4 linked regions of the Saccharomyces cerevisiae S288C genome follow. The gene in region 3 interacts genetically with the main gene of each other region. Each region holds a gene or a part of one and is shown on either strand. Other genes may lie near its edges.

The links.
Region 1: of ALG14 (region 3) and ALG7, extra expression of one rescues a mutant of the other (dosage rescue), as found in Saccharomyces cerevisiae (one study listed by BioGRID).
Region 2: mutations in ALG14 (region 3) and SEC59 together harm fitness more than expected from each alone (negative genetic interaction), as found in Saccharomyces cerevisiae (2 studies listed by BioGRID).
Region 4: mutations in ALG14 (region 3) and TPT1 together harm fitness more than expected from each alone (negative genetic interaction), as found in Saccharomyces cerevisiae (2 studies listed by BioGRID).

The regions. Positions count from the first base shown.
Region 1 is NC_001134.8:702,116-710,519, reverse strand, and holds ALG7 (UDP-N-acetylglucosamine--dolichyl-phosphate N-acetylglucosaminephosphotransferase), read left to right. Parts: upstream 1-3,726; coding exon 3,727-5,073; downstream 5,074-8,404. Other genes in the region: chromatin-remodeling ATPase ISW1, read left to right, coding at 1-2,370; glutathione peroxidase GPX2, read right to left, coding at 2,504-2,992; YBR242W (5'-deoxynucleotidase), read right to left, coding at 5,134-5,850; VVS1 (Vvs1p), read left to right, coding at 6,465-7,931. UniProt on the Saccharomyces cerevisiae protein: UDP-N-acetylglucosamine--dolichyl-phosphate N-acetylglucosaminephosphotransferase that operates in the biosynthetic pathway of dolichol-linked oligosaccharides, the glycan precursors employed in protein asparagine (N)-glycosylation.
Region 2 is NC_001145.3:290,890-299,192, reverse strand, and holds SEC59 (dolichol kinase), read left to right. Parts: upstream 1-2,454; coding exon 2,455-4,014; downstream 4,015-8,303. Other genes in the region: BUD22 (Bud22p), read right to left, coding at 1-325; translation initiation factor 3 subunit CLU1, read right to left, coding at 4,226-8,059. UniProt on the Saccharomyces cerevisiae protein: Catalyzes CTP-mediated phosphorylation of dolichol, the terminal step in de novo dolichyl monophosphate (Dol-P) biosynthesis. Dol-P is a lipid carrier essential for the synthesis of N-linked and O-linked oligosaccharides and for GPI anchors.
Region 3 is NC_001134.8:378,510-386,277, reverse strand, and holds ALG14 (N-acetylglucosaminyldiphosphodolichol N-acetylglucosaminyltransferase anchoring subunit ALG14), read left to right. Parts: upstream 1-6,343; coding exon 6,344-7,057; downstream 7,058-7,768. Other genes in the region: DNA-dependent ATPase RDH54, read right to left, coding at 290-3,166; YBR072C-A (uncharacterized protein), read left to right, coding at 3,257-3,418; chaperone protein HSP26, read right to left, coding at 3,604-4,248; YBR071W (uncharacterized protein), read right to left, coding at 5,232-5,867. UniProt on the Saccharomyces cerevisiae protein: Involved in protein N-glycosylation. Essential for the second step of the dolichol-linked oligosaccharide pathway. Anchors the catalytic subunit ALG13 to the ER.
Region 4 is NC_001147.6:120,892-128,615, reverse strand, and holds TPT1 (tRNA 2'-phosphotransferase), read left to right. Parts: upstream 1-1,926; coding exon 1,927-2,619; downstream 2,620-7,724. Other genes in the region: IZH4 (Izh4p), read left to right, coding at 696-1,634; myo-inositol transporter ITR2, read right to left, coding at 2,786-4,615. UniProt on the Saccharomyces cerevisiae protein: Catalyzes the last step of tRNA splicing, the transfer of the splice junction 2'-phosphate from ligated tRNA to NAD to produce ADP-ribose 1''-2'' cyclic phosphate.

The sequences.
Region 1 (8,404 bases), 330 kb from region 3:
AGGGAATTTACCTCACGTAATAGGCTGTTGATTACTGGTACTCCTTTGCAAAACAATTTGCATGAACTATGGGCGTTATTAAATTTTTTGTTACCAGATATCTTTTCCGATGCACAAGATTTCGACGATTGGTTTTCTTCTGAAAGCACAGAGGAAGATCAGGATAAAATTGTCAAGCAACTCCACACTGTTTTACAGCCTTTTCTACTACGTCGTATCAAAAGCGATGTGGAAACATCCTTACTGCCTAAAAAGGAACTGAATTTATATGTCGGTATGTCTAGCATGCAGAAGAAATGGTACAAAAAGATTTTGGAAAAGGATCTGGACGCTGTGAACGGGTCTAATGGCAGCAAGGAATCCAAAACAAGACTTTTAAATATCATGATGCAACTTAGAAAATGTTGTAATCATCCATATTTATTCGATGGTGCTGAGCCAGGTCCACCGTACACTACGGATGAGCACTTGGTTTATAACGCTGCCAAACTTCAAGTTTTGGATAAGTTATTGAAGAAATTGAAGGAAGAAGGTTCTAGAGTTCTGATTTTCAGTCAAATGTCAAGATTATTGGATATTCTCGAGGATTATTGCTACTTCAGAAACTATGAATATTGCAGGATCGACGGTTCCACCGCTCACGAAGATAGAATTCAAGCCATTGATGATTATAATGCTCCTGATTCTAAGAAGTTTGTTTTCTTATTAACGACACGTGCAGGTGGGTTAGGTATCAATTTAACGTCAGCAGATGTCGTTGTCTTGTATGATTCAGATTGGAACCCACAAGCAGATTTACAAGCAATGGATAGAGCGCATCGTATTGGTCAGAAGAAGCAGGTCAAGGTATTCCGTTTGGTCACAGATAACTCCGTGGAAGAGAAAATTTTAGAAAGGGCTACCCAGAAGTTAAGATTAGATCAATTAGTTATCCAGCAAAACAGGACTTCTTTGAAAAAGAAGGAAAATAAAGCAGATTCCAAAGATGCTTTATTATCCATGATTCAACATGGTGCCGCCGATGTATTCAAAAGTGGTACATCTACCGGTTCAGCTGGTACGCCGGAACCTGGTTCAGGAGAAAAAGGAGATGATATTGATCTGGACGAACTTTTACTGAAATCAGAAAACAAAACTAAGTCATTAAATGCAAAATATGAAACTTTAGGTCTTGATGATTTGCAAAAATTCAACCAAGATTCGGCCTATGAATGGAATGGTCAAGATTTCAAGAAGAAAATACAAAGGGATATTATAAGTCCGCTACTGCTCAACCCCACCAAACGTGAACGTAAGGAAAATTACTCTATTGATAATTATTATAAAGATGTTTTGAATACAGGAAGGTCCTCGACCCCATCACACCCCAGAATGCCTAAGCCTCATGTCTTCCATTCCCATCAATTACAACCTCCCCAATTGAAAGTCCTGTACGAAAAGGAAAGAATGTGGACGGCGAAGAAGACTGGTTATGTACCGACCATGGATGACGTAAAAGCAGCATATGGCGATATTTCAGATGAAGAAGAAAAGAAACAAAAATTGGAATTGTTAAAATTGTCGGTTAACAACTCGCAACCATTAACTGAAGAGGAAGAAAAGATGAAGGCTGATTGGGAGTCTGAAGGATTTACAAATTGGAATAAATTAGAATTTAGAAAATTCATCACGGTATCTGGTAAATACGGTAGGAACTCCATTCAAGCCATTGCGAGAGAATTGGCCCCTGGCAAAACACTAGAGGAAGTTCGCGCATATGCTAAGGCCTTCTGGTCTAACATTGAAAGAATTGAAGATTATGAGAAATATCTGAAAATAATTGAGAATGAAGAAGAGAAGATCAAGCGTGTCAAAATGCAACAAGAGGCTTTACGTCGGAAGTTGTCTGAGTATAAGAATCCATTCTTCGATTTGAAATTAAAACATCCTCCTTCTTCTAACAACAAAAGGACGTACTCTGAAGAAGAAGATCGTTTTATCCTTCTCATGTTATTCAAGTATGGCTTGGATAGAGATGACGTATACGAATTAGTGCGTGATGAAATTAGAGATTGTCCCCTATTCGAATTAGACTTTTACTTCAGAAGCAGGACACCTGTAGAGCTAGCCAGAAGAGGAAATACATTACTGCAATGCTTGGAAAAGGAATTTAACGCAGGGATTGTATTGGATGACGCCACTAAAGATAGAATGAAGAAAGAAGATGAAAATGGTAAAAGGATAAGGGAAGAATTTGCAGATCAGACCGCTAATGAGAAGGAGAACGTTGATGGAGTAGAGAGCAAAAAAGCGAAGATTGAGGATACGTCGAATGTTGGAACTGAACAGTTGGTAGCAGAGAAAATTCCGGAAAACGAAACCACTCATTAAACCTTCTTTTTTTATATTTCGATTTTTTTTAATATATCCTACACCATGCTTCTGAAGAAAAATATATAATCATACTAATCTATAAATGTATTATTTATTGTTCCGGATAATTGCTTGATTATAGACAAAGATATCATTTACTTAACAGGCTTTGGATTTCTTGGTCCAAGGACGATGGTTTTGTTAAGGAGGAAAATCTTTGGACAACCTTACCATTGGAATCAACTAAGAACTTTTCAAAATTCCATTTGATACCCTTGAAACCTAGTAAACCTGCTTTTTGGCTTTTCAAATAATTATAGACAGAGTCAGCATTACTTCCGTTAACATCAATCTTCTTCATAATTGGGAATGTAACGCCATAATTCAACTGGCAAAATTCCGTAATTTGTTCATCAGAGCCCGGTTCCTGCTTCCCGAACTGATTACATGGGAACCCCAAAATAACAAACCCCTTATCTTGATATTTTTTGTATAGTTCTTCCAATTCTTTATACTGCGGCGTGAAGCCGCACTTGGAGGCAACATTAACTATGAGAACTACTTTGCCTTTCAGTTGGTCAAACTTAAAAGATTCGCCTTTCTTGTCCTTGCATTCTAAATCATAAAAAGATGTGGTCATTTTGAATTATTACTTTTTGTTGCTAATTGTATTCTTGTCAAGGTCAGCCATGCAGGGAAATGCAAGTTCTCTGCGCTACATCACATATTAGCAAATAGTAGTTCTTTATATATCAAAACAATAACAAAAGTACCTGCACATTTTTTAAAGCAGGCTGGCTTAGGGGCTTTGCACTAATACGGAGACAATGGAACTAATGCCTTTCACGATATGTGTGGCAGATATTGTGGTTTTAAACTCTTTGTCATCGGAATTACTAATTGTCTAGATATGGCCGGCCGAGTAGCCTCTAAAAAATATTAAACAGTTGAAAGTAAAATTGCTTGGAAAACACTACTGAGTCGTTGGTCATTTCAAGAGACTGCATCTATCAAAAATAGTCAAGATTTGTGTACATGTTCGTCGTACATTTAGTAAGTAACGTCCGTATTTTCCTTTTTTTAGCGGATGATGAGTAAAAAATTTCTTGTGGATTTATATGTTACGAATACAAACACAGAGGTTGATGCATGAATTTTTTCTAGCTACTACCATGTGTTTAATACAATAATAGTACAGGTTTCCTTCATCTCCTGTATATGGCCCTTTCCTTTTATATTGCCTCAATCTCGAAAAATGCTTTACTAAACAGCGCGAAAATTAAATTGTTAACATGTGTATATAACTGTGAAATATGTAAATAAAAACTTTATCAAGTAGAGCAAGGCGGAGAACGGTAACAAAAAGTAGACTATATGTTGCGACTTTTTTCACTGGCACTTATCACATGCTTAATCTACTATTCCAAAAATCAGGGCCCATCTGCTCTTGTTGCGGCCGTGGGATTTGGTATAGCAGGCTATTTAGCTACAGATATGTTGATTCCACGTGTGGGCAAATCCTTCATCAAAATAGGCCTATTCGGTAAGGACTTGAGTAAACCTGGCCGTCCGGTGCTTCCAGAAACAATAGGTGCTATCCCTGCTGCAGTTTATTTATTTGTAATGTTCATTTACATTCCCTTCATTTTCTACAAGTATATGGTCATAACCACTTCAGGTGGGGGCCATCGCGATGTCTCAGTGGTTGAAGATAACGGTATGAATTCTAATATTTTTCCTCATGATAAACTATCTGAATATTTGAGCGCTATCCTATGCTTGGAAAGTACGGTCCTCTTGGGTATCGCTGATGATTTATTTGATTTACGTTGGAGACATAAGTTTTTCTTGCCTGCCATTGCAGCCATCCCACTGCTAATGGTTTATTATGTGGATTTTGGAGTTACGCATGTACTTATTCCCGGATTCATGGAACGCTGGTTGAAAAAGACTAGTGTTGATTTGGGGCTGTGGTATTATGTTTATATGGCATCGATGGCAATTTTTTGCCCCAACTCCATCAACATCCTGGCAGGTGTTAATGGTTTAGAGGTTGGCCAATGTATAGTGTTGGCCATCTTAGCGCTATTGAACGATTTGCTGTACTTCTCGATGGGGCCATTAGCCACAAGAGACTCCCATAGGTTTTCCGCTGTTTTGATTATCCCATTTTTGGGTGTATCCTTGGCGCTATGGAAATGGAATCGTTGGCCCGCCACAGTGTTTGTGGGAGATACATATTGTTATTTCGCTGGAATGGTATTCGCAGTCGTTGGTATACTGGGTCATTTTTCAAAGACGATGCTTTTGCTATTCATTCCTCAAATCGTTAATTTTATTTATTCATGTCCTCAGCTATTCAAATTGGTCCCCTGCCCGAGACATAGGTTACCTAAATTTAATGAAAAAGACGGTTTAATGTATCCATCAAGAGCAAACTTAAAAGAAGAACCGCCAAAGAGCATTTTTAAACCGATCTTGAAGTTACTATACTGTCTCCATTTGATTGACCTGGAATTTGATGAAAATAATGAGATTATTAGCACCTCTAATATGACGTTAATAAACTTGACATTAGTATGGTTTGGCCCTATGAGGGAAGACAAATTGTGCAATACAATCTTGAAGTTGCAATTCTGCATTGGAATTTTGGCTTTACTTGGAAGACACGCTATAGGCGCTATCATCTTTGGCCACGACAACCTATGGACAGTACGTTGAAGATTATGTATTGGTAGTTACTTTGTACTTTTATGACGCAAAAGTTGGTATTTATGATAATTATTTAGTTATCGATTGAGTCAAATCGGCGAAGTATTTTTGGCGCTGCACGACAAGGTCACTTGTCCAGCCCTTTACTTCGTCTGTTTTTATGCTAGCTACAGCCCCAAAGAAATCATCGAAGTTTTTCGTTCCTTTGTATTCCCTCTCGTACTCAAAACATTGTACAAGCATTTCATATTTATCGATATCTTTCACGTATCTAGCTTCCAATGAGGTGACATTTTCATAAGCCAACCAATCGTCCATAATTTCCTTTGCCGCGATCTCATTGTATGGCTTGATCAGAGCATTACATAGATATTTTATGGTTTCCCATTCCCGACGATGCTTTTCTTCCTTCCCAATAGGGTCAACTGGAGTAATATCGCCAACTAAAGATTCGGCGATATCGTGCACCAATGCGATCCGGACACATTTATCGCGGTTAACCCGCGAATCCTTGATCAGCATGGTGATTATGCTCAATCTGTACATGTGATCTGATATGCTTTCACATTCTTTAATACCGAGGTCAAGATAACCGGTTCTTCTCTGAATTTTTAATTGCTGTACCACGTTCAAAAACGCCAGGATATAGTTTGGATGGGGTTTAGAGAGCTCATTTTTAACATATTGGGGTACTTGGCTTTCAGGCTTCCATTCAGTTGTTAAACGTGTCTTTCCTGCCTCAACAGAACCAGAGCATGATTTCTTATTTGTGATCGTTGCTGTCATATTTTTTTTATGTAGGCTTTCTTTGACAATTGTTTTTTATGAGAATAAAAATAGTGCAGAAGGTTTATTAGAAATGGAAAAGGTTTGCTCCTGCGAAAAAAACCATTCAGTGGGTATTTTCAGGCTTTATAATGACCAATGGACAGAGTAAAACAGTCTAATTATGATAAAACCATATTTATAGATTAAGACTTTTCTTTTATACGTTTCAGTAATGTTTTTTTTTTTTTTAATAAACGAAATAAATTTTTAACATCAGGACCGAAAAAATGCGATGAGCTTTTAGATCGACGAAAAGTGTAAATGATTTACCTAAATATATATATATGTTAGCGAAAAAAGCTTAGCTTCTGGGCACAGTGCTCGGTACACTTTTGGTAGAGCTGTAACGAGCAATGATACGCGGTCTGTAAAACGAACTTGCTTGTGTAGTCATACGTCGTAGGCGTAATGTAAGGTTGTCCGAGAAAAGATGGGAAGTGTGAGGGATGAAATGGATTTCCCTTAAAGTTGCTTCCTGATTAAGGGAATAACAGGAGAACAAAAGTTGCTGAATATCTTTCTCTCTTGGAACAACAACAAAACACAGAGACTAAGGCATAACAAACTAAGTCATGGCTGAAACTGAAAGACTAATGCCTAACGGTGGTTCCCGCGAAACAAAACCGTTAATTACGGGCCATTTAATCTTGGGCACGATAGTTGCTTGTTTGGGGTCGATCCAGTACGGATACCACATCGCAGAGTTGAATGCGCCTCAAGAATTCTTATCGTGCTCCAGATTTGAGGCACCAGACGAAAACATCTCATACGATGACACTTGGGTTGGGCAACACGGACTCAAGCAATGCATTGCGTTAACCGATTCTCAATACGGCGCAATTACGTCTATATTCAGCATAGGCGGACTGTTTGGGTCGTACTACGCCGGTAACTGGGCCAACCGATACGGAAGAAAGTACGTGAGCATGGGCGCCTCGGCCATGTGCATGGTTTCTTCTCTGCTGCTTTTCTTTTCCAACTCCTACTTGCAGTTGCTATTTGGCAGGTTCCTGGTAGGCATGTCCTGCGGCACCGCCATTGTGATCACACCCTTATTTATCAACGAGATTGCCCCCGTGGAGTGGAGAGGCGCTATGGGATCTATGAATCAGGTTTCTATCAATCTAGGTATCCTGCTGACCCAAACCTTGGCACTCAAGTACGCAGACTCCTATAACTGGAGGTGGCTTCTCTTTTCCGGATCCGTGATTGCGGTAGCGAATATTTTAGCTTGGCTCAAAGTGGACGAATCTCCAAGGTGGCTGGTGAGCCACGGATTCGTCTCGGAAGCTGAAACTGCTCTGTTCAAGTTGCGTCCAGGAACGTACCAACAAGCGAAGCAAGAAATTCAGGATTGGCAGCGTAGCCATGGGCACAACCGCGACCCGGAGTCAAGCGAAGAGACTCATTCAGGACCCACACTATGGCAATATGTTACCGATCCCTCATACAAGAAACCGCGCACAGTTATACTCGCCATCTTGTCGTGCCAGCAATTTTGCGGCATCAACTCTATTATCTTCTACGGTGTAAAAGTGATCGGCAAGATTCTACCGGACTACTCGATTCAGGTAAATTTTGCCATTTCCATCCTCAATGTCGTTGTCACTCTAGCAGCATCTGCGATCATCGACCACGTCGGGCGCCGTCCATTATTGCTTGCCTCGACTACGGTGATGACCGCCATGTCGCTGCTGATCAGTGTAGGTCTCACCTTGAGCGTATCCTTTTTACTGGTCACGGCCACTTTTGTCTATATTGCCGCATTCGCCATCGGTCTGGGACCCATCCCCTTCTTGATCATTGGTGAGCTATCCTACCCGCAGGATGCCGCTACAGCTCAAAGTTTTGGTACTGTGTGCAACTGGCTTGCCACCTTCATCGTCGGATACCTCTTCCCGATAGGCCACGGCCTCATGGGCGGCTACGTATTTGCGATCTTCGCCGCCATCGCTGCCATGTTTGCTACATATGTGTACAAGCGTGTACCCGAGACAAAGGGCAAGACTACATACAGCGAGGTTTGGGCTGGCTACTGATCTGTAGCCAGTCATATATACCTAAGCAACTATTTTTTACTTCTTTCTAGCTATTCATCTGTTTTTTATTTTCTTCTTCTTCTAGTAACGAACGGCTACATGAGTATATGCACTCATTTAGTTAGTATCTATGTATATGTACGGAACTAGGCAAACCAAATGGATTGCTGTTGTATGAGATCCGTGTGGCGGAAACCATGACTACCGCTTGTACTGCCGGGGCCAAAATAGCACACGCGCGTCATGAGTCGCTCACGGGCGAGCGTCTATCTGCATATTTTCCTGAGCCCAATATTCGGTTCTGCGTCTTAGCGGCATAAATGCATCCGGCAGGACTGCCGAGAAAAGGAATATACAATGGCAGCCCTCTTGGCGCATTTGATGTATGCGGATTTCCAACCAATCTGCGAATGCATCCGTGCCAAAATGAAACGGCATTTAGCTTGAAAGAGTCGGAATTCCTGCATCAGATG
Region 2 (8,303 bases), on a different chromosome or scaffold from region 3:
GAGCATCCTTCACTTTACTAGAATTTTTTTTGGATATTTTCTGAATTTGTTCTTTTATACATTTTGATAAATGCGTCTCGTAATAGTGAATCTTATTATTGAGTAACTTTGAGTAACTTTCATCTAGTTCTTTGTCCAAAGTTTTCAACTCTAAAGAGTTTAACAGTTTTTCAATTTTCTTTTTGTTCTTTTTACCTATACAATTGTATAATTTGGCAGTTTTTGGATATCTTGGTTCAAACTTCTGTAATGATTTTGTCAAATAATGGTACTGATACTCCAACTGATCAAGCTTGTAGATAGAGACGGATGATTCGGAAGGCATGTTTCCTTTGGGTTATCCGTACACTTGACCTCTTTATACGTATATACTGGTTAAATTGCTTAAAGTAGTCATTCATACACTAAATGCACACAGTGATGAGGTAGATGAGATGAAAATTTTTGCCATATGGGCCATGTAATGTCTGGGTGTTGCTTTAATCGATCACTAACAGATGAAAAAGGTAGAATGGATAAAATACTTAAAGAATTTTATATGGCTTGTGATCAGACTGACGTGCAAATCATTTGATGAGACGTTTTCTTCATTGATGTTCTCAAGAAAATATATAGCTCAAGAAGTTGTCATCACATCACAATTAGTTATAATTAACGCAAGAGAAAATTTACTCAAGTTAATATATTTGAACTCAAATATATTGAAGAGATTAGAGTCGTCCAAATAGTCAGCATTACAATGGTTCGCTTGACCCAATTTCTAAATTTGCTAAAAATATTAAAGCTCAGTACCACGCCCTGTCACAGGCGAAATATCATCAAAGTTAATCGATAAACATTCGAAAAACGCAGTTGACCGTCGTGAAATGTGGAAATCATCATAAACAATTTTTGAAATTGGAGAAAAGTTAAAAACCTTGAAACAGTTTGTACGATCTCTCATCTCTCTCAGATAAATTTTCTAGTTTAAATTGCATCAGACACTAATTGCTCTTTTCAATCATGAAGATCAGACATATGCTTGTCTATTTGAGTAATTTGTTTCATCTTCTGCAGCATTGACGTCTCTAAGGTAGAAATTTTCTTTAAAAAACATGGAAGCAATACAGACACATCAACTGATGAACTAGTTATCTGTCGATTTTTTTCTATTTCCAAATTCTTTGCTAATCGAAAAGAATAATGTAAACAGCTTCAGAAAGGCATGAATGGTAATTTTAATAGTTGTGTCTTCACGAATGATCAGACTCGTCATCTATAAATATCTCATCATAAAAACCAATTCACATAATTATACGAAAATGAGAAAAAAATCCATTCTTCCCTATAGAAAATTCTGTTAGCCCTCAGAAAAACTTACAATGGATCAGTTGCGCGGGTTTTCTAGGCCCGCTAAAGCATTGTCACTCATTTGAAAGGATATTTGTTTCCCCCTCAGTGCCCAGTGCTGTGGATCCTCATTTCCATTGTATCAAATAGATCGAAAACATCAATCTACGGAAGAATAGCACTAAAAAACTACTGTTTTCTAAGCTTAAATGTATTCTTCCAATTTATGGAAATGTGTCAACTTTCTAGTATTTATTTTAAAGGTGTTTGCTAGGTCAGGATAGTGCAAAAACGTATCAACATATACTCGTTCAGCCAGTAATTCCAGCTTTTGTTTTTGTTATAATCATCATATGAACAAACACCTTTGAATAAATATGGAATAAAAAGAAAATTGAAATGGGTGTGGTAAATGAAAGGAGAGCAGAGAAATTGAAGAAATACTACTGTATTTCTATTTAGACTTTTCCTTTCAGTTTTTTCTTCTTTATTGCTAATTAAAAACCTCAGAAATAAGAATAAACGTTCTAATCACAAAAGATTCAGAAACTCTAGTTTGTAAAAATTTATTTTGGTCATCAAGGGAATAATTAGCCTGTGATAATGACAAAAGACATATCTGAAAAACTAACTTTGATAAAGAAGAAAAAAAGAACACGGAAAAAAACGTTTTATGGATTCAATTTCTCTCTCAGCCTTTCATAGCTCCCACTCATCTGAATATTTCTTTTGTATTGATCTTTGTGATGGAAATCATAGGATTCTAATATTGTAACTTATTAAAGAGAGGAAGCATTAATTGCCAATAACCATTTCTGCGTCTCTTATTTATACCCGAAGTAATCCTAGAAGAAAAAAAAATTTTCAGAAATGAAAAAAGTTCTAGATGTATGGGTGTGCGGGTAATGCTAAGATACGTTATTGAGGGCTGTCCGCAATGGTTGGGTTTTCAGGCACGTAATTTTCAAAAGAGTTGTACACGTTGTTAGTCAAGATGGTGAAAATGGTATCGAAGGACGTATTCTATGAAAGATAGAGTTTGTAGTAAGCCAAATATTAGAATTTAGCTAGTAAATCAGACTCCTTTCGAGGCAATAAACTGTCGTTATTCTGTTCATTGCCTATATGGTCGCTATAATACCTCATGCTTCCTTTACCACAATTAAACTAACCCAGAAAACTGAGGGAAGCCAAATGCCAACTGAGGAGATCTGCAAAATCAATATGAGGACTCGTAAATTTGATGTGGGCGGGAATTCTCGAGATTTTGAGTGCTTTTATTCGAATTTTGTTCAAACTGTTATATTGTTGGGCACTTTTTTTTACTGTGTTGAAAGGCTTCAGCCGTGGTCCATTGTTACCGCTGATATATCTTATAAACAAATCTTTGTAAATGTCTTTGTGGTGTGTTTGATAATGGTTGGTCTGATATTCACAAAATATTGGCAACATGGTTACAAAAGCCTACCCAAGTTCGATACCATTTACAGTTTATATTTACCGTTTATGGTTTCGTTGTTGTTCGATACATCATCTACGGTGATAAATACTATTTTGATCCTTTCGGTATTAAATTCATATAGATGGCGAACTCAGTTGGTAGTGATCATTTTACAGCTCTGCCTCATATTTTTTAATTTTGAGGCTGGTGACAGGTTAAAGAATATTATTAGCATAGTAATAAATTCTTTACTGTCGTTAATTTTGAAGTATATTGGGCAATTGAAAAGTTTAGATAATATCGACTCTAATCTTTTTAGTATCCTATTAACCAATATTCTGTACGTTTCAGAGGCTGGCACAGTACATTTTAGAATTTTGAAGGGCATTATCCTTGCTCTCACAACAATAATTTCAATTAACTATGTGCTCAAAAAGGTAATGCACTTTAAACCGTTTATGCTGTCAATATCCTTTGCCATCGGGCTTCCACTTTTTGCCAATACCTTCATTCATTTAGAAGACGGTGAAAATCCGCTACTTTGGCTGGTAAAATATATCTTAGAGTCTACTATTCGTCAAAAGATTTTGTTTGCTTGGTCTTCAATTCTTATACTGTCCATACCAAGTATATTGATCGAGAAGGACAGTCTATCGTTGAACACCTCCCGAAAATTGTGGCATTTCATCATTTTCTTACTCATAATACCGTCATTCCAAATGGATTCAAACTTTGTGAAAATTGCATTGTCCGGAACAATACCAGTCTTCTTATCAATTGAGTACATAAGATTTCAAAACCTACCGCCGTTAGGATCTGCTATTGAATTACAACTAAGAAGGTTTGCTGATGATAGGGACCACAGCGGGCCATTGATCATATCATACCTTTATTTACTCTTCGGAATATCAACACCTTTATTAATGAATAACTCTCCAATGGGTCTAATAGGATTGGGAATTGGTGATTCCTTAGCATCTATTATTGGTAAAAGGTATGGCCGCATTCGTTGGAAAGGTACACAAAAAACTTTAGAGGGAACTCTTGCGTTTATAGTAACGAGTTTTATCGTTTGTTTGGTATTGTTACGTTTTGATAAAGCTGCAATTTTTAACCACCTAACTACTTTACAATTGCTTACCCTTTGTACACTGAGTGGAGTGCTAGAAGGTAATAGTGTGCTTAATGACAATATTTTGATACCTGCATTTATGATGATTTGTGAAAAATTAATTACTCTTTGACAAAGTCAATTATTTTCAACTTTTAAAATTACATAACTAATTGTTTGCATTTATGAATAGAATAAAGAAAAGAATAGAGCAGTAAAGAAAAAAAAATAATTGTAAGTATTTTTTTTTCGTTTTATATCTAGTACTTACACGTAGTATATACAAGTATGGGCTATAGATATAAAGAAAAATAATAAATAAACGAGATTGTTAAGTTAGCTCTCTATTTCTTACCATGCTTCTTTTTATTGTTGGTTTTGTTTTTGCTCTTAGAGTTGGAAGAATCGCCTTCTATAAATGTTAACAACTCATCCACACTTTTGTTAGCCAATTCAGGTTTAACGTCATCCTTCTTTTGACGGTGATTGGTTTTTTTATGGCCAGCTGAATTTGATCCCGTTGTCGACATTTGATCTTGTGCAAGTTGCTTCTTTTGTTTTAAATCCATTATTAATGAGCTTAAACCATTAACCCACTGTCTTGATTGGGCTGAGTGCGTGTGATTCATACCCAATTGCTTGGTGAAAATCCCTTGGGTTACAGTGATGTGCTCTAATGCACGGTGGAAATCCTTCAATGCTGCAAACAAATTACCTAAACGTGACTCGGTATAGCCATATGCTAATGAATCTTTGCCTTCTAATTCCACAACATAGGAGCTTAGTTGTCCCAAGACTTCAATAGCCAATTTGGTATCTTGAACACCTAGGGCTAATTGTTCCAAATGGTTGAAAATGCTTGTGGGGGCTGGGTGATGGATTTTTGGTAACTCATAAACTTTTAGGATTTCTGCGAGCCTATTATAAACCACAGTAGCGTTATAAGGACTTTCATTAGAGAATTCTAGAATTGCTAAATTAGTTAAAGCCCTCATCATTTCAAAAGAATCAATACCGCTAACTCTTTCATAAATAGTACATGCTTTACGACAGAACGCGATAGCTTCAGGGTATAATGCTAACTTATTATAAATGGCAGATAATGACAAGTACTTTTCAGCAACGGCGGGATGTAAAATATTGTTAACATCTTCTAAGACTGTAATTGATTGAGCGAGTAAAGTCAAAGCACTTTGTTTGTCTTCGTTGATCATAGAAGCACCTTGAGCCCAAAATTCCTCACTAACTGAAGAAGTATATTCTGAGAACTTAACACGTGGAATAATGGTCAAATCGCTTAAACTGAAGGTAGTTGGTGGTTCGACAAACTTGTTCCTAATTTTCTTGTCAAGACTTTGCTTATAACTTTCCAATTGTTCTCTAGTAAAGAAGTATTCTTTATTGAGCAATTGAATACCAAATTTGTAAGAAACACTTCTAATGAGGGTGAAAGGATTTTCCATGTAAGCTTCGATCCAATTGGATGGTAATTGATGACGGAAACGCAAGAAGGCTTGTTTAGAGACAGCTTCCAGCAATTCGGAGCGTGTTAATTTAGCAAATGAGCACTTATTGACTGGATAAAATTCGTCGACTGGTTCTGGCTTCGGATCAGCATTGTAGTTGATACCAACTAACATATTGAAAACGTATGCTACCAGTGATGGAACCAAGAAGACCGGAACATCTTTACTCAAATCTTTTAAAACATGTTTCAAAGAACGCGAAACAATTTCTAATTCGGAAATTTTAATTAATGGCACTAGCTCATCATAGGCAACGACCACAGGTTTTCCATCGGTGGGCTTTTTGATTTCTTCATCGTTTAATTTCAAATCTTCAGTTAGTTCTTTTGGAACCTCTTTGCCTTCTTGTACCAGCTTATTAATCTTGGCTTGTCTCTCTTTAATCATGTTCTCAATTTTTTGCAGATAAGATTTTTCCCAATCCTCATATTCTTTGTTGTCTTGTTCAACAGCTTTCAAATTTTGTTCGTAGTGGACAATTTGGGAGTCCAATTCCTTTTGAGAAAGCTCGATAATTTTACCCAAGTAACGCATGTTGATACCATTCTTATGTAAAGTATCGGCTAAATGTTCACCATTATAAGGAGTGCTCAAATTTCCAGATAAATAATCTTGAATAACGCTGGGAATAACTTCTTTTTGTAAGTAGTTCGACATTTCGTCAACATTAGCGTCCTCAATACCTTCGACCTGGTAAGCATCAGGGTTATAACTAAACAAATTTTCTTCATAGGCCTTTTCAAATTCAACACCTTCCTTCTCAACTTTATTATTCCACCACTTTTCTACTAACTCCGGACGTAACAAAGTTTGCCTGTGTGGGTAACGGTTTCCAGTCTCTTCGATGTTGTCAAAGTTTTGTCTAGCAAAGTTGATGTCCAAGGGATACGTGTTGGCTAAATCCAAAATATAGCGCCTCTTATCGAATCCAACTATTCCCTTGGATTGCGATGAAAATGCTAATTCAGTACCGTTGACTTTGTGCTTTTTCAAATGGAATGCCTTGACAAACTTTTTTTCTAAAACAGAATCAAAGTCAGCATCATAAACAATCTTTCCCAAACCTTCATCAAGGCCGTACTTTACATTAATATCATTGACAAAATCTTCGGTAACCTCTTCGCCGGTATTAGCATCTTTTACAATTTTGTTACCCATGGTAGCTAAGAGTCCAGGTACTGGAGTTTGAGCCAAAATTCTTCTGCCTGCAAATTCGACTACAGTTGTTAAAAGATAACGAACTTCGTGCATATGCAAGCGATTCAAAATATTGATTGTCTTCAAGTCTTGGTTGGAAGCAGCGATTGCAGCTTCATCCCCACCTTTCCCTTCATAATTGCCACTAACGTCGGAAACATAGGAATAAAAGATATTGTCTTTTAAGAAAATTTGATCCCGAGTTGGAGATTCTGGGTTCATTGCAACGAAATCACTGTAAAAAATTGACATAGCGCCTGATGCTGCAGTAACAGAAAATTCATGTACAACTTTAGAAAACAACCTTTCCATTTCAATACGATCTTGTAATGTTGACGTAGTCAAATCTTTAATGGCTTGAAATTCATCATTAAAGTTTCTTTCTGGCGTGGTATCCAAGGCGGCAGTTTGTAACCTCAGATAATCTGGGTTATTTGGTGGCAATGAAGAAACAAACCATGGTTTATGCAAGAAAGTATTGCTTGGTCTTACATAGCTTGTAGAATCTAAAGCAGATAGTTTTTTCTCGAATGCTTGGACATGAGAAATGAATTTTTTAGAGCGAGAAGCAATCAAGTCAAATAGACTGTAATAGATCAGGGATGAGTGCGCGTTCTCGTCAGTGTTTTCTTTTGGAGAAGGATCGAACTTAGTTGAGTTTGATTTATTGACATAGAATCCAGATGGAATTGCAGTGATATAGAAACTCTCACCTTCCAAAGTGACAATTTGTAGGTAAAATAGATGACCTTTACTTCTATAAAATGGAGGTACAGGATTGTAAGGTGCGAAACTCAAAGACCTGACGCACGGCGTGATGATGTTGGATTCAGAGGTGAGAAGTTTGTTAATTGAAGAATTCTTAAAGCTAGAAAACACTTCGTGAACCATCTCGTTAAATTTTAGTTTTTCCTCGTCAGTCACATCTTTGAAAGTATTTTTCTTTTCTTCTGGATCGCTCTTCTCGTCTTTTTCTTCTTGTTTTGAGCGTTCCTTGATAGGACCCAACGGTAACGAGGAAAAGCTTGAACCAGTAGAAATAGCAAATTCAGATAATCCATCTGAGGTTTCTTGGGCAAATCCGATGAAATCGCGAACAGTAATCACATGTTTCAAAGCCTCTCTTGCGCTATATGGCTTCAGTATCAATTGAAGTTTTAACTCGCTTTTCTCACCAACAATTTCCTTTATAGACATTTCATCAGATAGCTGGGAGTCACCTTCAATTGTTTTCAGCCCAACGTTTGTCAGGTACTTGGAACTTGGAATCATAGCCAACACATCTAGAACAGTTTGAATTTTGGATTCCTTGCCGATTTCAAAAGATATATCATTATTTTTTGAACTTTGGGTCTTTTTGAGATGTTTCGTATTATGCGAATGGTTATCTTCTTTTGGAAGTTTGACAGTCACCTTAACGGTGGCGTTTTTAACTTCTTCTTTTTTCTCGCTCATAGAGATTAAAGATATGCAGTCTCAGATAAACTGTAACACTACGCTGATTTGATTCGTTCTGTAAACAAATTACAGCTCAATTACTACTCTGTGTTTAGTGAACCTTATATCCAATCTTCACTGCAGACAATTTCCTTTTTTGAGAATACTTCGAAGCGTATAATTTCCAAGAAATGGTATCCGTTTTATTGGCCATGTTTGACCGGAAAAAACCTTGGTCGACGTGAAGAAAAAAATTTTCAAA
Region 3 (7,768 bases):
TCTTTAACTTTACCTATCAATTTATTTCCTTGTAGATAATTTTTCACATTATTTTTTTTTTTTTTTTTTTGGGACTAAAGGCTATTCAAATCTTTCAGATGTTTGATTTGCGCCCGCAGCGTATCGTTATCAAATTAGTGAAAACGTGGATATCAACTTGAATCAGCAATAGGCCCTACTTAATATGTGACTTGAACCTGAATGAGTCGTGCAAGAATAAACCTATTAAATACAATCAGTGATTAAATAATAGCTATTTTATTTAGTATATAAGTGTCCATATTTGGCGTCATTGTTCTCTGAGACATATCTCGCCGGGCTTTACAAACGCAAAGGTAATACTATCTTTCAATTCGGTGAACGAATCTGTGATAACCTCATCAAATAATTCATCTTGTCTTGCTGGATCGATATGCTTATAATGAACGAGACATTGCCTAATGTATTGTGACTTTTTGGCATCATCGTTGGTGGCTGCTTCATTCATTTTCTTTTGTAAATCCAGCGCACTTGTCCATGTCGTAGTGCTACGCTTTCTCAGCTCTACGGTGTTCTGCTGTTGATTTGTTTCAGGATATTCAATTTCCTCACCTAAACCATCGCAAGAACAAATTAAGTCATGTGTGTTACTCTTGGTATCTGTATGGACAGAAAACAGGTCCTTCAAGTCCTCTTTATTGAAAAGATCATCATTAGAAGATTCTTTATTTCTCATCTCCGAGTCACCTAGAAATTTTTGGCTCAAACTGTTCTTCATTAATTGCCTTTGCAATATTTTCTCATCGATACACCCAGTTGTGACAAGTCTATATATGAAGCACGGCTTTTTTTGACCATCTCTATGAATTCGTGACATCGCTTGCAAATCTACTGAAGGATTCCAATCATTATCAAATAAAATAAGTCGCGAAGCACCGACTAGATTCAATCCTACACCTCCCGATTTTGCACTCAACAAGAATCCAAATATGGCTGGATTCCGATTGAAAGATGTGACGATAGAGTCCCTTTGTTTAGCAGGTATGGAACCGTCGAGTCTGCAATGTGACATCCCAGCCATATTCATCAAATTTTCAATTATATCCAATGTTTGAGTGTAGTTAGACACTACGACGACCTTCTCCTTGGTACCCTTCCTAATACCTTCTAGTAATGTCATTAATACCTTTAACTTACCAGAGTTCAAAGAACGACTATAGCTGTCCTGAGATTGGGTATCCTTTATATGTGATTTGTAATAGGGATCTGAGCCAACCAATCCAGGAGAGTTACAAACCTTTTTCAGTAATGTTATTAGTCCTAGCGAAGAACTGAACGTCAATTGTCCAAAATCTAAACGTGCGCCCTGCAAAATATCTTTGAATGCCAATATCTGTTGGCTGTATGGTTTACAGAATAAAATTATATCCGTCTTTGGAGGAAGGTACTTTTCTAAAATCGCATTTGTTCGTCTCAAAATAAATCTTTTCGTAATTTCTATCATCTCTTTTGACCTTTCTTCCCCCTTTTCCAACAATTCTTCGTTGTATCTGTTTGCAGTGTCTCTGGCTCTAGTTATAGGGATAATGAATCTTCTTTTGAAAGAAGCGAAGCTTCCAAGGATTCCTGGGTTTATGAAATCTATAATAGTGAAAAACTCATTAAGATCATTTTGTATAGGAGTTCCCGTAAGCAAAAGCTTCCTTCTTATGTCTAAACTCTTCAGCGTATTTAAAATTTTAGAAGCCCCGTTTTTTAGTCGATGGCCTTCGTCACACACCAGCATGTCAATCAAATGTTTATTTTTCTCTAATTCTTCAGAAACACTCAAGAGTTTTTCGTAGCCAATAATCAAGACTTGATAAGTTCGTTGCACTTTTAAAAAATTTCTGACAGCCATTTTATCCATATCAGGAGAATTCCTTGAGCTTAATGTCAAAACACCTATTCTTGACAAATTTAACCATTTTCCAAATTCTCTTTTCCAATTTCCTATTAAAGTAACGGGACAAACGACTAAAATCTTCTTACAAAGTCCAGTTAATGGTATGCCTGATTGCGAACATGAAACTTTTGATGCAAAAGGAGTTTGCCTAATTAATGTCCAAATCAAAGTTATACTCATTAGTGTTTTACCTAAACCCATATCATCAGCCAAAAGGCATCCACTAATATCTGAGTCATTTTCTAACACTAAACTTTTAGTAGTACAATCGATATCCGGATTTTCAATAGTTGGTCTTGCCAAGCCCATTAAGCAATCATACATGAACTTCACCCCTTCCCTCTGATGAGGGCGCAAGAATTTGCCCAGTAATGGATCAACAATTACGTCAACTTCAGCGGCTGCATTTTTGTTCATTACTATAGGATTATCGATTTTGTTGACATCAAATACTGGATAATATTTTTTGGCTTTGGAATTTTGACTGGTTTTAGGTACTGTGGTCATGTGTTCATTTGTTTGCTTTGTTACTGATTTGAATCTTTTCACAGTGTTTAGTGAAAACAGCTGAGACAGAGGCATTTGGTATTTGCCACCGTCATTCTTCGTAGAAGGCACTGTTTCTGTTGTGCTTGTGGTCGGTGGGCTGGGATTTCCCATGTTTTGTGATAAGGCTTCTTTGGCGCTACGTATTTCTGCATTTTCCTTCAATTCGTAATCCAATTGTACTTCATTGGAGCCTGCTTTGAAAAGAGTTTCGAAGAGAGAATCTGAATCACTTGGTAGCATACTTGACCCAAGAAATTTCCCTGCTTCGTTATAAAAGCATAACTTATCGCTACTGGCTTTTAAGGTAGCGTAGCCATCACCACTCCAAGTCTTGTGCTTTTTGGTAGTAGGCTTCCTGTACATGATAGTAAAATATCTAGTGTTTTCATTTGAGGACAGATTATTCGGCTTCTTGGCAAGATTTAAAGTAGGTCCCGCCGAAATGCTTCTTTTCAAGTTGACAGTAACTTTGGCTTTAGATATAGGGGCTGTTGTGACTGCAGTGGCGGTTGGTTTGAGTTGTGTGTACTTATTTGATCCAACCCTTCTTGGAGGCTTGAATGGCTTGTTCTCATATTTCGGTATCTGCATTTGAGTAGTACCGGAATCAAATACCGTTTGATATACCGAGCTGTTTTTTACCTCCTGTAGGATCTTCTCTCTTCGTCGAGGTTTAACGCTTATTACCGCCATTTCAATACAAAAACTCGATTCTAATCGGTTATTTATAGTAGGTTTTCTTTTTTTTTTTTAGCTCTTCGCGTTTTATTTTTTATTTTCTTGATGCATATATTAACGCGATCGAGTAAAAATGCCTTTCCCAGAAGTAGAAGTAGGCAAGACATCCATATTTCAAGCCACATCCATAGAGATACCTCCAACAGCGCGTTGTTGAAGATTTTGGTAATTACAAGAACGAGGTTAGATTCCTTCGTTAAAACTTAGTCAAAAATAACGGTCATATATCGAAGCCAAAGCAAGTTTTTATAACTATTTATTCATCAACTCATATATATCTAAACTAATTCTAAGAGGTAAAATCGCTCAGATGTGATGACCATATGTTTCAAGCCCATATGCAAGCAACAATGGTCCTCGCGAGAGGGACAACACTATAGAGCCAGGTCACTTTAGTTACCCCACGATTCTTGAGAAGAAACCTCAATCTTCTTGACGTGGTTCTTACCATCCTTCTGAGGCTTCAATTTTGGAACTGTTAATGTCAAAACACCATTTGCGTAGTCTGCTTTAATGTTGTCTGCATCCACACCTGGGTAGTCTGGCAAAGTGATGACTCTCTTGAACTTACCAGAGCTGCTCTCCTTGACCTTGACCTTGTCTTTACTCTCTTCATTCAAGGTAGATGGAATTTCACCAGAAACCAAAATTTGGTTCTTGTTTTGATGGTACTCAATATCAATGTCCTTCTTGCTTTTGACACCAGGAACCACGACTTTCAACTCGTAGTTGTTGTCATGGTCCAAAATATCAACTGGAACTGCGACACTTCTAGGGAAACCGAAACCAGATGGGAACAGGGACAAGTCATTGTCGAACCAATCATCTAAGGTTTCATCTCTGGGATCATAAAGAGCGCCAGCATAGTTATTTGGTCTAGCAACTTCCTTGCCAGTAGAATCCTTTGCGGGTGTGTTTGCTAACTGACGTCTTGGTGCGTAGCCTCTTAAGCCGCCTTCACCCAGCAATCTGTTAAAGGCATCAACTTCGTTGTTGATGTTGTCAAAGAAATCAAAAAATGGACTGTTAAATGACATGTTAATTTGTTTAGTTTGTTTGTTTGCTTTTTTGGATACCTGTTTTAATAGAGATCTGATATATCTTTATCGGTGGTTTTATTAGTATAAGAGAGTAGAATGAAAGGTGAATGGATTAAAAACAGATCTCTAACTAATGGAGGTCCTATTTATATGTTTAGGAATAAGGGTGAAAAAGAACCGTTGTTATGAAATACCACTCAAGAACGTGCATAGATCCGCAAGGACATCTAAAACTCGCATATTACTTAATTTTGTGTTGCGAGCACGCTAAGTGCGAATACCTTACTGTTACGAGCACCCTATATTTTTGGACGCATAAGGGGGAGGGAATAACCATCGATCTTTCTAGAAATCAAGCAATGCTTGAAAAAGCACTTTCGTTGGTTGTGGATGTTCATGTAAAGACGGTTACTATTCCGATCCAACAATGCACCTTGACAGGCAAGGTTCTTTAGGGGTACACACGGAGTTAGGGGTACACACGGAGTTGCTGCTGCCCCAGTAACATCCCAGTGATTACCAAATGAAGACACATAACCAGATTATTTTGTGCCACATTGCCAAGAAGGTAAGAGAATTGTGGCTTACTGTAAGCTACAGGTTCAACGGTGCATGCAAGATGGCCGCGTTATTTTTTTGGGGTCCCCCCCTGAGGCTTATGAGAGAGACCCATAGTCTTGTTTTCAAGGAGCCAAATTGCCAAATGAAAAGAAAAGAAAGTTAAAAATTCAATTAAATTAAACTAGGAGTAATGTTAGTGTATGTAGTAAGAAAATGATTGATGTGCGCAGAATATTGAAACGGAGACTGAAAACATTCTATTGACGGATTCCGAGCGAGAATCACGTAAAGAAGGTTCTAGAAAAAACATAAAAAAATGAAAAAACAAAGTGAGGTTGGAACTAGTAGAGCCGTTTAGGGACTCTTAATTAACGAATTGTCCAACATCAACAACAAAGTGTGTCCTATGGTAGGTTATATTAAAAAAAGTCCAACGATGTCCTTCTACTGGAACCCATATCCAGGTTGTCCAAATTTGATTCGTGCAATGTTTCGATAGACGCTGTCCTTGAGGAGGAGTCGTTTGAACAGAAGACAAAGAGAGCTTTAGAATCATCGATTGCTATTGTGTTGTTAATTTTGAAAGCGTCTGTTTTATCCATCTCTTCAATATCTTCGTACAACAAATCGTGAATGGAATAGTCATTATCTTGGGAAAATATGGAAGAGATCGAGCTCTTGGTGGAGGAAAGACTGGCGTCTGATTCGCTCCTCGTTGACTGCGTTGGTGATGGAGCCATCCGCAGCTTTTCTTCCTTTGCAGCGTTTGTTTGCATGTGCCTCATGGCCGAGTGGTAGTCTTTAAGCAGTGTTTCGTCCAGTAACAAGCTGCTCCTTTTTAACTTTGACTGACTAGATGTGCTTCTCTTATTCGTAGGAGACAGGAATTGAGAAGGAGCTGTGCCCTCCTCCTTTTTCTGCTTCGTCTTGGAGTGTCCATGGCCAAATTCGCTAGTCAGCGAGATTAGCGAACTTTTGGATCCTAAATGCATGGATTGTCTTTTCTTGGTGTCTGCGTTTGTGTTAGTGCTGGAATTTTTAGAGCGTCTTAGCATTTTACGTATTTTGTCTTTTTGTGCCGTCACAATATATAGTTGGTATGTTCTTTATCGTCGTATATTTCTCGTGCCGAGCTTGCGCCTTCTTTAACAATAAACCAAACGAATATTGAGGCTTCTTTATAACAGTTTGGCAAATAGTCAAGAATATAATGAGCAGCCAAGCGCGAAATTATGAATTCTATTAATATCCGCACTAGTGAATTCGAATACTTCCTTTACAGGTCATTTTCTCCTATTGCTCCAATTTACACTGCTGTGCTTTTTTTTTTAATTACGCGCATTAGGTAATTTTACCCCTACGCGAAAGTTAGTCGTAATTTCGTGTTTCTTTTTTTACGTGTTCTGTCTGTCCAGAAGCAAAAATGTTCTTAGCGAAGCCATCCTAATATTTCATGTACAAGGGCCCGCAATAACTGTAATCGGCGGTTTATTATTGTATCAGGAAAGTCGAAAGAAGTGACTTGAAGATCATGAAAACGGCCTACTTGGCGTCATTGGTGCTCATCGTATCGACAGCATATGTTATTAGGTTGATAGCGATTCTGCCTTTTTTCCACACTCAAGCAGGTACAGAAAAGGATACGAAAGATGGAGTTAACCTACTGAAAATACGAAAATCGTCAAAGAAACCGCTCAAGATTTTTGTATTCTTAGGATCGGGAGGTCATACTGGTGAAATGATCCGTCTTCTAGAAAATTACCAGGATCTTTTACTGGGTAAGTCGATTGTGTACTTGGGTTATTCTGATGAGGCTTCCAGGCAAAGATTCGCCCACTTTATAAAAAAATTTGGTCATTGCAAAGTAAAATACTATGAATTCATGAAAGCTAGGGAAGTTAAAGCGACTCTCCTACAAAGTGTAAAGACCATCATTGGAACGTTGGTACAATCTTTTGTGCACGTGGTTAGAATCAGATTTGCTATGTGTGGTTCCCCTCATCTGTTTTTATTGAATGGGCCTGGAACATGCTGTATAATATCCTTTTGGTTGAAAATTATGGAACTTCTTTTGCCCCTGTTGGGTTCCTCCCATATAGTTTATGTAGAATCGCTGGCAAGGATTAATACTCCTAGTCTGACCGGAAAAATATTATATTGGGTAGTGGATGAATTCATTGTCCAGTGGCAAGAATTGAGGGACAATTATTTACCAAGATCCAAGTGGTTCGGCATCCTTGTTTAAGTAAACCATTTATGTAGGATAGTAAAACTTCCAACTATTTTTGAAGTCTTATGGTGGCACCGCACCTTCTTTGATGCTTAAAATTTCCAGGATTGCTTCACAAAATATAAACAATCCGGCCAACGCATTAAAACTACCACTGCTAACCAGAAAGTAAATCAGTAAATCACTTACTTACAATTACTACGTATACAAAGCAAACAATCACATTTCATGTCTGCATAATTGCACAGTGTATGCATAATGCATTACGGCACCAAATTTGGTGTGTAAAGGATAATGCGACACCGGTCTTAGAGATTTTTGCACGAGGATTATTGCCGTACGGCTATTTGGTGTCGTCTCACTCTTCGCCGCGCCGGGACGGCCAAAAATACAAAAAAGGTCAGTCAGGGCCGGCAACCCGATGAGGAAAGGGCCCTTCCAGTAAACTTCACATTATCTTGACAAGGCATTTTTTTTCAAAAAAAGTGCATTTTGATGGACAAAAAGAAAAGAAAACCTCCAGGTTATATTCTTTAACTTGACAGTGTCTGAACATTTAAATTTTTCGAATGGGTTACCTCATCTCACCTGTTTTGGAAATTAATGTTGGAGTAAAAAAGTATATAAGATGCTGTTTTCGTATATATCCCTGTTTTGTGGCATCTATTTCATCTTTTCTCTGACCGTAAAAAAAAGCAGACCATAAAATAGTCTGAAATTAATACA
Region 4 (7,724 bases), on a different chromosome or scaffold from region 3:
AACCATTAGCTATAGAGCTAGTCGGAAATGGCGGGACCGAAACAACTTTTGATAGTACAGGGAACTCCAGCGTATGTTTCTCTAGGTGACAAGAAATAAAACTGGAGACAGGCGATTGACAGAAGGATCAGAAGCAATAGTCTTACTACTTATAGACAGAGAAAAATGATTATTCCATATGTTACCCTGATATTCTACGAGAAAATGGGCCTTCGTCAATAGCTATTTAATTTAAGCATATGTACGGGCAGTACCAGCTGTTATAGTTTACATAAAATAGACATATTCACGTGTATGCAAGGGCACATAAAAGCAAAGGCTGACATTGAAACATAGCAAGCCAAGAGATAGAAAAGGAGGATACGGGGTGAACAGCCGGTCTATTCTTATATATACTTCAAAGAAGCGATAGTTCTGTCCGTATAAAAACTCGGACAATTCGGACAGCACTCCGCGAGAAAAGGGCTCGTTGGGCAGCTCAACATTATTCAACGCAAGCCTGTTGAGCTCAATTGGTTTTAATTGTAAATACTCAATGGTGTCAACAGCTAAATGATTTACACTCATATATATGGTCCGGATATATGGACGCAGAAGTAAAATAAAAATGAAAAAAAGTAGAAAAGGAAATTAATTTCTTAAAGTTCTTGTCAGCGCATATAATATTGGTATAAAGGTACATATATATTGACAGTATGGTTTCATTGACTACAATAGAGCAAAGCCCAGTCAAATGCGAGACAACCACTGAGAAAGAGAGCAATGATACTAGGGGGACAGATTCGAACGAGAATGCAGAGACAAAAGAAACAAAGAAGGGTTTTCCATTCCATGACTTGGCAAAATTGCAGAAACAGTACAAAAATAAATCCAGTAGGAACGAGTCACTAGTAGCACTAATATATCTCTTGGGTTCGATGCTGTCATTTTGTCTCCTAATATTTTTCACGGACTTTTATTTGATACCTTTGTTCCCCACCACCACTACAATGACAGACTACATTGTATTCAATTTTTATTTATTGAACGTTTTTGTATTTTGTATGGTGCATTTCATTTATCACTTCGTCAAAAATATTTCTCTACAACAACATCTCGAACATTGGCAGAAGTTTTCGTATTTATCGAATATCAACTTATTGATATCATCACAAATCACAATTCTTTATTATCTATTCTATGATTACGTGTTTTTCTTCAAAATTTTTACCCTTTTAATGAACTTCATAGGATTAGTGGCATACTTTTTTATATTGACGGACAAACTCATTTCCTCGAAAAGATTCAATAAAACAGTTTTCTTCATTTCGGTATCAGTAGTGTGTTGTTCCTTGCCACTATTAACCGCAATAATCACCTTTGATGGTTTAGAAAACCTGAAAGAGAGGATAAAAGTGAACGCAATTACGTGGGAACTTGTGGCTTTGGTAGCGGCATCTATAATTTACGTTACCAGGTTCCCTGAATCATTGTTCAGACGAAATAAAAAGGAAGAAGGTTGGAATCATTCCGAGTACCTTTTCCATCTCTTGATTTCTGGTACGGCTTTTTACCATTTTTTCATTTTGATTCAATCTTATATTTTGATGCATTCAAGTTTGAATCAGCCCGAATTAATTAATTTCAAGTCTTAGACTCAGCTGGTGCTCACATAATAAATAATTGAATAAATAAGGCAAATTAAATAAAAAAATAATTCAAGAATGGGAAGTGTATCTCCTTTAAAGATACTTACACGAGTTGAATTAAGCTTCATGTTTTGACTTTAATGTCTTCTGCGGTTCTTGTCCGTATTTCTGTCTTCGTGATGTATTTGTTCTTTTTTACTGACACCGTGACGCGAGGAAAGCTCATCAAAATAATGGCAAAATGCATAATACATTATTACAGAATTGAGCAGAATGACTGGGAAAGGTGGACTTGACAATGCGCCAGGTACTACAAAAAGATAAAAGGGATGTACAGCTTTCCAAAGCTTTATCATATCTGCTTCGACATACAGCGGTGAAAGAAAAGTTGACTATTGACTCAAACGGTTATACACCGCTGAAAGAACTATTGTCTCATAATAGATTGAAAACTCATAAATGTACGGTGGATGATATCCATCGCATTGTTAAGGAAAATGACAAACAACGCTTTCATATAAAAACGTTAGGAGCGGACGAAGAATGGATCTGTGCTACTCAGGGACATTCAATCAAATCGATTCAGCCATCAGATGAGGTTCTCGTACCAATTACTGAAGCGTCGCAGTTACCACAGGAACTAATTCATGGAACAAATCTTCAATCTGTCATAAAGATTATTGAATCCGGAGCAATATCACCAATGAGTAGAAATCATGTCCATTTATCGCCGGGGATGTTGCACGCGAAGGGAGTTATTAGTGGAATGCGTTCTTCAAGTAACGTCTATATTTTCATCGACTGCCATTCTCCATTATTCTTTCAAACTTTGAAAATGTTCAGGTCGCTCAATAATGTTTACTTAAGCAGCAGTATTCCCGTTGAATTGATCCAAAAAGTTGTAGTTAAAGGAAACTTGAAAGATGAGGAGAAGTTAGATACTTTAAGAAGAATTTTACACGAAAGAAACATACCGCTCGAAAAGATATAACTTTCATCAAGCTCAACTTTTATGAATTTTTATTTTTAAATACTTCGCTCTTACTTATATATTTAAATAAAAACTTTTAAGATTAGATGAAATGAATTGTCTCCCTTTTATAGCTTTCTTCCTTCTTTTTTGTTCTTTATCTTTTATTTTTTGTTGGTGTAGCAGTCTAACTTTCTACAATTTCCTGTGTAGGTTCGAATTTGAGTTTATGATGGGCAGCACCTTCGGCCACCTGTTGTTTCCTCTTTTTAGCTAGAGCTTTAGAGGCTTTGATATTGAATCCGTCCTTTAAAATTGTTTGAACTTCCTCTAACTCCAATCCTGATAGTTCTGGATAACAAAAGTAACAAAAAATGGTTGATAAACATGCTACACCGGCAAAGAATGAAAATGTACCCGTTGGTGTAATATTTTGTAACATAGTCAAGAACGTAGACGCAATGACTAAAGAACCTGCCCAATTGGTGGCAGTAGCGTAGGATGTCCCTACACCTCTGACGTTTTGTGGAAATAATTCCGATTGTTGCCATGGAACAGTGCCGATACCGAGGGCATAAAAGGCTGCATACACAATAATAAATACGATAATGACAATGCCCCAAGATGAAAATCCATCAGATGCCACTACTGCATCAGCACCGTTAAACTTAATACCTAGGAAATGGAACGCTATAGCACATATAACCAGCGCCACAGTCATACCAGGTAGTCCAATCAGTAAAATGTACCTACGGCCGATTTTATCAATACAGAAAAATGCTATTAATGTGAACACAAAATTAGTACCTGAGACAATAATAGAAACGGCAGAAGAATTTTTGAATCCAACAGTTTCAAATATTGTACCGGAGAAATACATTAAGGAATTCCAACCTGTGAATTGTTGAATGGCTTGTAGACCACAACCAATAATCAAAGCTCTGAAATTTGAAGGCACAGTGTGCAATTCCTTGACCATATTCCAGAATTTTGTTATTGGATTTTTTCCTGGTATCGATTGATTTAAGCTAGATAATTCTTCAACTTTTTGATCAATTATTTCATCTTCAGTGTTTACGTAACTTCGTTTGAGAACCATTTTTGCTCTCTTTAAATCGCCTTTCATTACGTAGTATCTTGGTGTATCCGGCAAAAAACAGAAAAAAGAAAACTGCAAAACAGTAGGTATCAAGGACAAACCAACTAAGATTCTCCAACCGTTTTTGACGTGGTTCAGGCCCGCACCACAACCGTAAGCAATCAATTGACCACCTGTCAGCCATAGGGAATTTATAACGGTTAACCTACCCCTGATCATCTTAGGAGCAATTTCACTAATAAAAAGAGGAGAAATCAAAGAACCAATACCGACACCGAAACCCATAATCAGTCTACCGGCCGCCATTTGCCAAAACTTGTGCGCGGTAATTTGTAAAATTGCTCCGATCAAAAACATCAGATTGGAGAACATTAAACATGGTCTTCTTCCAAACACATCAGCAGCAGTACCAGCGCCCACACTTGTAATCAAAGCGCCCAATGATGTGGCGGCCGTAATTAATTCTTTTTCTCCATAAGTTAAAACTTTGTTGTCTAAATCTCTATTGATAGAAATTAGCGCACTCGATATGTAACCAGTATCATAACCAAACATGAACCCAGAAATGGACGCAACGAATGTCAATGTAATAATAAAAGGGGATATTGACTGATTGAAAGTTATAATCACTGATGTATCATCTTCATCGTTAACTGGTTTAATGACAATTCGACCGTCATCCTCGTCCTCATCCTGTCTAGATTTTATTTGCATTGTAGAGGTGGATACGGGAGACTTTTTCGGTTTTTGACCATCATTGTCTTCTTCACAGTGCTTCCTATGGTGCAGTTCTTCTCCCTGCGTAGAAGATTGATCAGTTGAGGCGGCCCCCATACCACTGCTATTAGTGTACGAGGGAAAGAAATGGGAGAGACGACTCTTCGTCCATCTGGAACTAGCAGCTGTCGAATTCTTCATTTCAGCCATGAAAAAAAAGCAGTTTTCTTGCTTTTACTGCGTCCTGCCTCTTTTCTTCTTTTAGTTTTTTGTTTTCGTTACCGTTTTCCTAGCGAACGACAATGTTTATTTTATTAAGGTATTCTTTGTGTTTTTTCGTACTCTATACTAAAGTATGGTCAACTGCTTACGTTCTGTTAGGCGGAAGACACGAAATAACTTTGCTTCACATAATATTTTGCATACTTTTAGTGGCAAGACGAGCGATTTTGGAAATTTTTTTGGCGATGTTTTTTTAGTAAAGCGGGTTTTTGACTACAATTTGAAAGCTCTTGTAGTAGAAGAGGGAACAAATAAGAAAAAAGGTTCCGGGATGAGGATTTGAGCTGAAGGTGAGAAATGGGTGAATGTTGAGATAATTGTTGGGATTCCATTGTTGATAAAGGCTATAATATTAGGTATACAGAATATACTAGAAGTTCTCCTCGAGGATATAGGAATCCTCAAAATGGAATCTATATTTCTACATACTAATATTACGATTATTCCTCATTCCGTTTTATATGTTTATATTCATTGATCCTATTACATTATCAATCCTTGCGTTTCAGCTTCCTCTAACATCGATGACAGCTTCTCATAACTTATGTCATCATCTTAACACCGTATATGATAATATATTGATAATATAACTATTAGTTGATAGACGATAGTGGATTTTTATTCCAACATACCACCCATAATGTAATAGATCTAATGAATCCATTTGTTTGTTAATAGTTTGAATGTTTTTATCGGAAGAGGTTTTGTCATCACATCAGCAATGTTCTTCTTGGTCTCGATGTAGTATACGTATAAATTATTACCTGATACTTCATCTCTAAGTCTCATTGCCTTTGTGCCAAAAAATCTGTTTCTAAATTTCTCTTCATTTGTAGACTTAATTATACTGATCGTTGATCTACTATCAGTAAGTAAGCCTTTAATAATTGGTTTCTTGTTAAGTTCTTGTATCAGGTAACTTAGATTATTTAATAATGGGACAGATTCACTTATCGCGTGTATTTCTGCTTCCGTAGTTGAAGTACATGTTAATGAAGCCTTGGTGGACTTTCCTCCAATTACCTTTCCATTAAGTAAATATATGTTGCCAATTTGTGATTTATAATACGGTTGGTTGCCATACGAAGCATCACTTATTGCGACTAGTTTATTATCTGGCTCGGTAGGTTTGTTTTTGTGCCATATCAGTTGTTTATCTCTAGTGTCCCACATGAATTGTATCAACTCATATGTCATGTCTAAAACTTGCCTAGAGGGGAATAGTATATGTTGAGCAAGTGTGTTGATGTAGTATAGTAAGTCAAATCTAAATTTATATCCAACATATGAAGCTAGACCAATCAACTTTTGCATTTCATGTACCTTCTCTTTGTATTCATCTTCATCTATTTCTAGTTCATCCTGGTCTATATAAAGACCTGGTTGACCTGGAGCGCTAAGTTTTCTTCCTTTTGGATTCAAAGGTACGTTTAATTTGGGTATTTTCTCAGTTAATGAGTTTTCCATACCTAATTTCATGTATTTACCTCTTTGATATTTGATTTCTAAGCCAAGTATGTCGTACTGAATTTCGTTATCACTTTCACCCAGATTTATTATCTTTGTATCGTATTGTTTCTTGAGTGTTGTTATGATTTTCTTATTTGCATTTAAGTCTTTGCTGAATAAAATCATGTCGTCAACAAATAAACATATTGTTACTTGACTATTCTTAAATACGCATGACCATCCACGAACTTCTTCCATACCACACTGTTTTATCAGGTATGATTTGATAGTTTCGTACCAGTTCGCTCCACTTTGTTTCAATCCATAAAGTGATTTCTTCAAACGTATCAACTTATCATTCATTCCTAAATGTGGTGGAGGTCTTATGTATAATTCTTCTTTGATGTCTGCATACAAATATGCCGAAGATATGTCTAATTGTGTAATATAGTAGTTATTGTCTAATGCAAGTGACAGGGATGTCATTAATGCATAGTGATGTACGGTATTGGATTGCATGCCTGAGTCGTAAGTGTCAGGATGCTGAATATCACCTCTTGCAACAAATCTAGCTTTATGAGTACCGTCACGTTTCTTGTTGAAGATAAACATTGAGTTTATTACTCTTTTAGGGTCTATTTCTTTTCTGTCATAATATTCGTCAGTGTCCCAAGTTTTCATCTTCAACAGTTGATTGACTTCTTTGTGGTATGCCTCGATATATTTTTCTTTTTCTTTAATATCTTTATTATAGGTGATTGCCTCATCGTATCGTAAGGTTGTCCGTATTGGTTTGATTGATTTTACTGCTTTTACAGCTGCAATCAGGTGAATTCGTTTCTTCGATCTCGGAGGTTCTAAACTACGCATATTCTTAGTATTCCATGTGTCTCGTGATACCTTAATTTCAGTTTCATTATCTTCTAATGATCTTTTCTTACTGTTGATAGTAGTATAGGCATTAGAGTCACCAATACCACCCAAACTGGAATTAGTTTGATGAGAATTTATCGGTGGGAGTTCTTTAAATGGGTCAGGGAATTCGGTAGGAGATTCTGGAGGTAGATCAGGGAGTGGGAGATCAGCGATGATAGATTCCTCGGTATTCTGTTCAGAAACAGTAGTTGGCGTTTTGATAGGAACAATATTGTGCGATGAATTATTTTCCGGTGGAGAAGCATCGATTGAAGGTGAACGGTGTATAATCCTTTTCTCAGTCTCTTGGTCACTTATCTGCGGAACAGTTTTGTTGTTGGTACCACCCGTACTGGATATTGGTACGTTTGTATGATTAGTCTCATTTTCACTGTACGAGTCTGAGTGTCTGAAATCTTTAGATTTACTGGCGTGCGACGACTCATGTGTGTTAGATTGGGACATGGGAGCAAGTAAAGGAACATTTAATTTATGCATACCACCCGAACCGGTACTCTCGATATTGGAAATTTGGGGGGTGCTAGATCTCTTCTTTGATGGAAGAATATTAGATTCAGATATGTTGGGGTCAACTTCTCTGGGTGCGCGAATATTGGTTTTAGAAACACGTTTCGAATCTTCAGTATGAGTTGACGGAGGTGTG